2 linked regions of the Alligator mississippiensis genome follow. The protein of the gene in region 2 interacts with the protein of the main gene of each other region in a biochemical or structural test. Links are inferred from orthologs where the notes say so. Each region holds a gene or a part of one and is shown on either strand. Other genes may lie near its edges.

The links.
Region 1: the proteins of PTGES3 (region 2) and TERT form a complex in vitro, tested with the Homo sapiens proteins (2 studies listed by BioGRID). The link is inferred for Alligator mississippiensis from reciprocal best matches to the Homo sapiens genes PTGES3 and TERT.

The regions. Positions count from the first base shown.
Region 1 is NC_081826.1:140,166,448-140,170,193, forward strand, and holds the start of TERT (telomerase reverse transcriptase), read right to left. Parts: upstream 2,491-3,746; 5' UTR 2,306-2,490; coding exon 2,078-2,305; intron 110-2,077; coding exon 1-109. UniProt on the Homo sapiens protein: Telomerase is a ribonucleoprotein enzyme essential for the replication of chromosome termini in most eukaryotes. Active in progenitor and cancer cells. Inactive, or very low activity, in normal somatic cells.
Region 2 is NC_081838.1:6,974,380-6,978,125, reverse strand, and holds the start of PTGES3 (prostaglandin E synthase 3), read left to right. Parts: upstream 1-1,139; 5' UTR 1,140-1,170; coding exon 1,171-1,481; intron 1,482-3,746. UniProt on the Homo sapiens protein: Cytosolic prostaglandin synthase that catalyzes the oxidoreduction of prostaglandin endoperoxide H2 (PGH2) to prostaglandin E2 (PGE2).

The sequences.
Region 1 (3,746 bases), on a different chromosome or scaffold from region 2:
GAGAAGTGTTTTCATCTGCTAAGGAATACCCAAACGCAAGCACATTCTTCTTCTTTTTTTCACAAAGTCTCTGAACAACTCTTTTGACAACGTCACTCATAGCAGAGAGCTGAAAAGGGAAAAAATAAAACAAAAAGTTAACTTTGCCTAAGACTTTTTTTGGGGGGACAAACCACAAATCCACCTTCAAAAGCATGCGTGCTTAGCCCCAGACTCTGGTTGTCGATTATGACTCTTGAAAACAAGTTGATCAGCCTGCACATGCCACACTGCATCAGGCATTTTCAAATGTTACAGACTTTTGTACCCTGAAAGCAGGGATGAAGAATTTGGGCAAGTCACTTACTCCCTCCCCCTTCACAGAACTGGGATAATGCTCTCTCCTCACCCACAGTCCATCCTGTCTGTTTAGACTGCAGGATCCTCAGGTCAGAGGATCTACCAATTTGCATTTACAGCATTTACTATACCACAGACCAATCCCTCCAGAAACATGAATTAAATTATCTCAATTCATGAGAATCAAACAGGTCAACAGAAGAATAGCTTTGTTTATGCAGCAACTTAGAGAAGTCTGCAAAATCTTCCTCTCCTGTTTACTGAACACAACAGAAAGGGATCGCCCTTCTCTTTCTGCAACACGAGAATTGCATTATTCAGCCCCAATTACAACAGAGGCTGTTCCTTTTCAATTTTTAAATGTTACTTCACGAGAAAGAGCAGAGCAAATAAGCCGTGGACACCTAACCTTCTGTTTTACCCAATCCCAGTTTAGGGACCAGGAACCTTGTGCTCTCACTTCAGCAGGGAAAGAGGAATCCCTTCCCCCAACCCTTGCACGGCTGATAGCAGTGGTTCTCAACCTTTTTAGACTCAAGGCACCCCTCAGGAAACATGACTCCCCCACCCGAAGAGACCTGAGGTCCCCCCCCTTGAAAAATACCAGCTCCTAGTTTTCACTGGGGTTTTTTTACTATAAATAGACCAAAGGCCTCAGAAAGACAAGAGCCAGTCAGAACGCTTTTGACACTCTGGGTTCCTGTCTGAAATCTCCGAGTACATCTTATGAATCTGTGTAGCACACCTGATAGTGCTAGCCTTGCGTGACACCTTGTGGCACCCCCAAGAGGATCTCAAGACACCCCAAGGGCACGGCCACACGCTGGTAGAAAATCATTGGTCCAACCTCATTTTAAAACTGCAGGGACAGCCCTCTTGCAGCAATACCCCGGGGTGCCTTGAACTTGGAGAGACCTCATGAGCAGGGATCCTGGCTCTCTCAGATTAAAAAAAAATGCCCAATTTTCAGTTTAAAAAAAAGGTATGCCCAAAGCCACAATTTTCTGTGATATATATATATATATATATATTATAGTGGTGTTTCATTTATATATATATATATATATATATATATAGAGGTGTTACATTTTTTTTTTTTTAAATCACAGAAAAATATGGATTTGGGTGTACCTTTTTTAACGGAAAATTGAGAATTTTTTTCTTTAAAATCACAGAAAACCAGGATCCTTGCTCAGGACATCCTCAAGCCAGGCCCCCACCTCAGGGCAGCATCTTCTCTTGGGAGGGGAAAAGAGAGGAGAGTGCCAGCTCCCTTCCCCCAGCCTAAATGCCTTCCCTCCTGGGACTGGAACACCCCCCTGCCCCACTGCTGTGTGCTCATGTGTGGAGGGGGAAACAATCTGTGTGTGTGAGGGGGGGAACAATGAGTGTGTGTGAGGAGAACAATCGGGGGGGGTACGCAAGAGGAACAAGGGGGGGTGCAGGGGGAATGGGCGTGCGTGTGTAGGGGGAACAATGCGTGTGCATGTGTAGGGGGACACTGAGAACAAGTGCGTGTGTGAAGAGGAAGCGGCGGGATGCGCGGAGGGGAGCAGGACGTGTGCAGGGACGCGGGGGCCCGGTGCGCGCGCGGGTGCCGCCGCCGCGGCCGCCTCCTCTCCCAAGCCCAGGGCGGGCGAGGGCGCAGGGGCCCCGGGGCCGCCACAGCGGGCAGAAGCGAGCAGGCGGCGCCCTCCCCCCCCGTGCCATGCCGTGGCCCGCCCGCCCCCGGGGATACCTGGCGGAAGCAGAGCGGGCGGGGCAGGGCGCGGGCGCCCCACGGCACCGCCACCACGAGGCGCTCCGCGAAGGCGCGGTAGATCGCGGGGTCCGCGGGCCGCACCAGCTCCGGCCCGGCCCCGGCCCCGACCCCGGCCGCCACCTGCTCCCGCTGCACGAAGGCCTCCAGCGCCAGCGTCTCCGCGTAGCAGCCGCGCAGCACCGCCAGCGGCCCACGACCCGCCATGCTGCCCCCGGCCGACCCGGTCCCTGCCTCTCATGCTCCGCGAGCCGCGGGAGGGGGCGGGGCGGACACACGTGCGAGCCCCGCCTCCAGCCTCCCGCCCGGCAACTCGCACGTGGGGGCGGTGGCGGCTACCGCCTCCCAGTCTCAGCACCGGGGCCAGCGAGTCTGCTTGCCTAGCGCCCAGCGAAGGATGACCCGGCCCCGGGAGGGCTAGGTCTAGATCTAGATCTGGATCTGAAGCAAGAGCCGGTGGAGTGAGGCGCTGCAGTGCTGCCTCTCCTCTTCATCCGCCGCCTTGCTTCTACCTGCGCGCATTGCACCAGCCTCCAGCTGCAACTTGTCCACCTCTCCCACTAACAGATCTGTGTTTTCCTGGGCGGAAGAGCCTTCCTGACTCAGCCCCAGTGAAGACCTACTTTTACTGATCGTGTCCGTGATGTTTTAAGCCGTGATGGTCCAGGTTATGAGGGGCAAGTATTTTTTAGGGCAATATCTTGTGTTGAACCAACTGTGTAGTAGAGTTAGGCAAGCTTTTGAAAGCAATTTTTGTCTTGCGTGCTTTGTCTGAGGAAAAAAGTTCTCGAAAATGTGTCCAACTGTACTACACAGTTGGTCCAAGGAAAACTAACAAACACCCTAAGAAATCCTGGCCTCTCCTACATTGACTGACACATTTACAAGACACTGGGGCTAAAGGACAATGGCAAGGTTGTGAAATGATAAGCCATAGATAGCATTTAATAAAAACATACACCGTGGTAGTAGAACTGCATTATTGCCATCTTTAATGAAAACCTAGGGAAACTAGGCATAAAAACCAGTGGTAAAGTAGCAGTAACCTGCTCTAAATGGTGACTTTCTCATCTAAATCTACTAGTTAGGGTACTGTCCTACAAAAAAAGGGGTGCATTATAGTGCACAAGCTGAATCAATCCACAAGGTGCTCTTATTGCAAAAAAAGGCAATAGCATACTAGGTACGAACAAGAGTGTCCCTTGCCCATCCAGAAAAGCAACTCCAGCTCTTTTCAGCACTGGTGCAGGCTCAATTGGAGCACTGTATCCAGTTGGCTGCACTGCACCTTGAAACATGGATAAATTGGAAAGAGTCCAGTGGAAAGCAACAAAAATGGTCAGTGGTTTAGAGAGCATGATTCATGGCACTCACTTCCACATCTGTAACACTGAGATATTTTTAAGCAGGAGTGTTTTTAAGTACACAAACACTCAAAATATTCACTTGGATGTTTCTCCATGGTTTCTGTAAGATTATTAAAAAGATTACTGCATTGGAAAGTGTTTATTTCGTTTAGTCTATGCATCACGACCATCAGTAACACAAATTCTCTCTCACATCCTTTCCAATAAGAAATCAGAACTCAGTTAGTCTCAGACATAAATGCTTTATTTGTACCATGACTGCAGAAAACAAATTATTGACT
Region 2 (3,746 bases):
AAATGAGACGTGGTTGTGGTCTGACCAGCTTAATAAGAGGCGGTAGAGAAGCAAGTCCCTTATAAGAAGCCTTGGAGGAGGGGGGAGCCAGGCCGAGCGAGATGGATGTGGTGGCAACATTTGGGAAAGAAAGTGAAGTGTGAGGTGCAGGGGCAGGATGGTCCAGAGGGGAGCAACGAGGTTTGCAAGTGGCCTGGAGCACACGAGGTTGCGTTCGTAGGCCGCAGCAGAGGAATGAGAAGAGAAGAGAGCTCCCCATACCCCTTTGGTGGGGGCTTGAGGTGATTCTTGTCAGCAGGTGTTAGTCGGTTGTCTTCCTGCTGGTCCTTTGCCCTGATCGGCCTGAAGCCTGATTTGGCTGGGTGCCCACAGGGCTGGATCTGTGCACAGGCTCACTGCCTGGAAAAAGATGCAATGTTGGAGAACGCGGAGGAGGGACAATGGGCTCTGCTACGTCCTGTTCTAGAACAGAGGCGGGGGGGCTTTTCCTTTTGCTGCCTGGGAGCAAAACAAGGAGCTTGATGGGCACCCATGGGCTGTGTGGAAGACCCTGGCAGGCTGTGCTACATCCTGAGTAGTTCTACACTCAGGCTGCTTCATGGTCTGCTGAGGAAGAGCAGGCAACCGTGCAGCCCGCATGCGTCGCTATCTCTACTGGCAGCTGTCTTCGCGGTTCCTGCAGGAACGAGCCTCGCAGAGCAGCGCGTCGCTCGCAGCAGCAGCTCTTTGGCAAGGTCTCTGCAGTGGGAAGCTCCACTCCAACACAGACAGATGCAGAAGCTCAGGACAGACCAGGACCTGCAGCAGAGGAAGGTGGTTCTGAGCAACCCAGTGTCCTACGCCCAAAGCAAATAGGGAGGTTGCCCTAGCACTCCAGGCCATGTACCAGGCTGGGGCTGGAGTCCTAGCTGGTGCCCTGGTGTACCTACAGGAGACAGTTGGCCCTGGGGGCGCCAGGGAGGGGGGCAGGGGGCTATCCCCAGCTGTTGTCCCCGGGCCTGTGCACCCTTTCACCCCCTTCCATCGGCCCTGCTCCTACTTGCAAAGGCGGCAGAGCCGCCCACGCCCAGGGGACTCCATTTCCCAGCCTCCACCGCGCCCGGAAGGAGGAAGGGGGAGCGTTGCCGCGGCAACCGCGGCCGCCTCTCGTCCTTTCCCCCAGTGCCGCGCATGCGTGCCGAGAAGCTGCTAGAAAGGAGTGGAAAGAGCCGCGGGCCGTTGCGGCGCAGGCGTAGTAGGGTGGGGGGGGCGCCGGAGGCCGCGCACGCGCGAGGGGAGGCGGGGAGCGGAGGGCGGGCGCGCGGCGGGTATTTTGCTGCGTCACCAGCGCCGCGAGCCGCCGTTGCCCCAGCGCGCGCGGGGTATTGTGGGAGCCAGGCCAGGCCGAGCCCGAGCCCGAGCCCTGAGGAGCCGCCGCCGCCGCCGCGCCCTGCCCGCCCGCCCGGAGCCGGGCCCCGAGCCCCGACCGCCGCCAGCGCCATGTGAGGGGGGCCGCGCCCGCCCGGGGGGGAGAGGGGCGGCCTCAGGGGCCACGTGCGGGTGGGGGGGGGCGGCCCCACGCGGGAACGTGGCCTGTGGCGGTGGGGAGCCGGGCCTGGGCCTCCTCCCCGCGCGGGGCGGGGGCGGCCTTCGCACGAGGTCCGAGGCGGGGACGAGCGGCGCGACCTTGAGCCCCCCCCCCCACACGTGTGTGTGTGTCCCACCCCATGTAGAAAGGGGAGGGGCCGAGCCAGGCGGTTTAGGGCGGGGGGATGGGACGGATGGATGGCCGCCCCCCCACGTGCGTGGGGTGGGGGGTGTCCCCTCCCCAGAGGATGGGGAAGGCCCTACCCCCAGGAGTGGAAAGTTGCTGGTAGGCGTAGGGAGCCCCCACCGGGGTGGCTGCCCCCCCCCACACCTGAGGGTGGCTCCAGGCAGCAGCCGCCTGCCCACCCGCCTTAGCTTTTTTTACGCTGGGCTTCAAACTGATTTGAGGAGGCTGCTATGCCCAATTAGCTGTCCAAAGGGGGTGGGAGGGTTTGTTTTATTCTCCCCCCCATCGTTTCAAGTGTGGTTTCAGGCCCCCTGTTTGATGCCGCCCGGGTGGGGGGAGAAGAGTCGGCTCCAAACGCACGTGGCTCAGCACAGAAAGCGGCGCTGGTTCAGGCGCTCCCGTTGTCCAAAGGACACCGGCTCCACGCCTGAAGCAACTGGATCGTTTCCAATGAGTCGCGGCCTGTCCCCGGTGCCGCCCGGGGAGGCGTACGTGGGGTTGCTCGCGTGAAGAGCTTGCGCTCGGGCTTGGCCTGCCAGTGACGACGAGCTTCAGTCGTGTAGCGTTGTGACGAGCGTGTGGATTGAATTAGTAGCTTGTCCTGATTCTGGAGAAACTAAGGACCAAGACTCTTGCTTGCGCTGAAATGGGACATCCAAATGTCCCCGCAGTTGGTAATGCTGGTGCGGCTCCCCGGGAGCCGGCAACCTTGGGAGCGTTTGCACCGGCAAGTCTGCGGGGGCTGAAGCCGGGAGCAGTTCTCCCTGGGAACACGTGAAAGGCTCGCGGACTGCGTTTAGGACTCCCAGCATTGCCAGTGGCCAAGTCCCACCAGCGGAGAAGCACCGATTAGGCAAATTGGTGCTTGCGTCGTAGAGGCCCCTCAGCAGCAACCCGGTGTTTTGGGACTCTGACCTGGCCAGGACGGTTCTCGCCAGGCTTTGGGAGCCTTGATTAGCTGCTTCGTTATGAGTCTATTGCGGTTGCTTCTCTGACCCAAAACTGAAGTGTGCCATTCATAACGGAGCGACAGCAGGGCACGTATTAACTCTCTAGACGTACCGGTGGCAGGATCACTGAATTGGACGCTGCTCGACTTCCCTGAGTCAAGCGTTATTTCATAAGGGCAAATGTTGCCCTTAAAAACCCTGCAGTGCCTTGTGAACTGGGTGGGAGTTGAGCACATGGTGGAAATGGCTTCAGTTACTGCGTGTGATGATTTAATGGGTCTTTTTACTTGATGGTAGGAAGCAGCCTCCAATAGCAGGCATGGGACTGGCCACTCAATGTGTGGGATTGGTCAGCTTCCTTGGATTAGCTGACTCGTTCCAACTTCTGCCCCGACGATGACTCCTGTGCAACTAATCCAGCATCACTTTTTTTTTGTATTTCTCCTACCCAAATTTAATTGTAATGAGAAAGCTAGTAAAACAGGGTTGGTTTTTATCCCATCGCAACTTGATATAGTGCCATTATTGTATTATATCTGCTCACTTCCAAACTAGGGCAGGGACAAAGGCATGGCTGGTCCAAGTTGTGCTGGGAGATGGAGCAGGGAGGGAATATTTGGGGAACCAGCTAGGCCAGGCGGGCATCTCCAGATTGATAGCCTCTCCTTGAGCTGTATCTAGGAGCGAGTTCTCCAAAACGCGAGTGCCACCATTGAATCCCTGGCCTGGTTTAATATACCCCGTGCCCCGTTTCTTTGCTCCCCTTATTCTCTATACTGCTGCAGCTTCCAGTGATCTATAGACTGACGTGGAGTGCATCACAGCAGTCCAGAGCAGGCATGACACGGGCTTGGCTGTCTTGGCAGGGCTCCCATAAGTGGGGGAAACTGGTACAATCTTTATGCTAAATGCACAGTTAAAAAACAATGCCTAACTGCAGCAGCCAGCTGAACTTTCAGGAGCAGCATTCAGCATCACATCATTAAAGGTCACTTGGTAAAGTAGGAGTTCTGATGCTTGCCACACTGCAGTACCATCGCGCT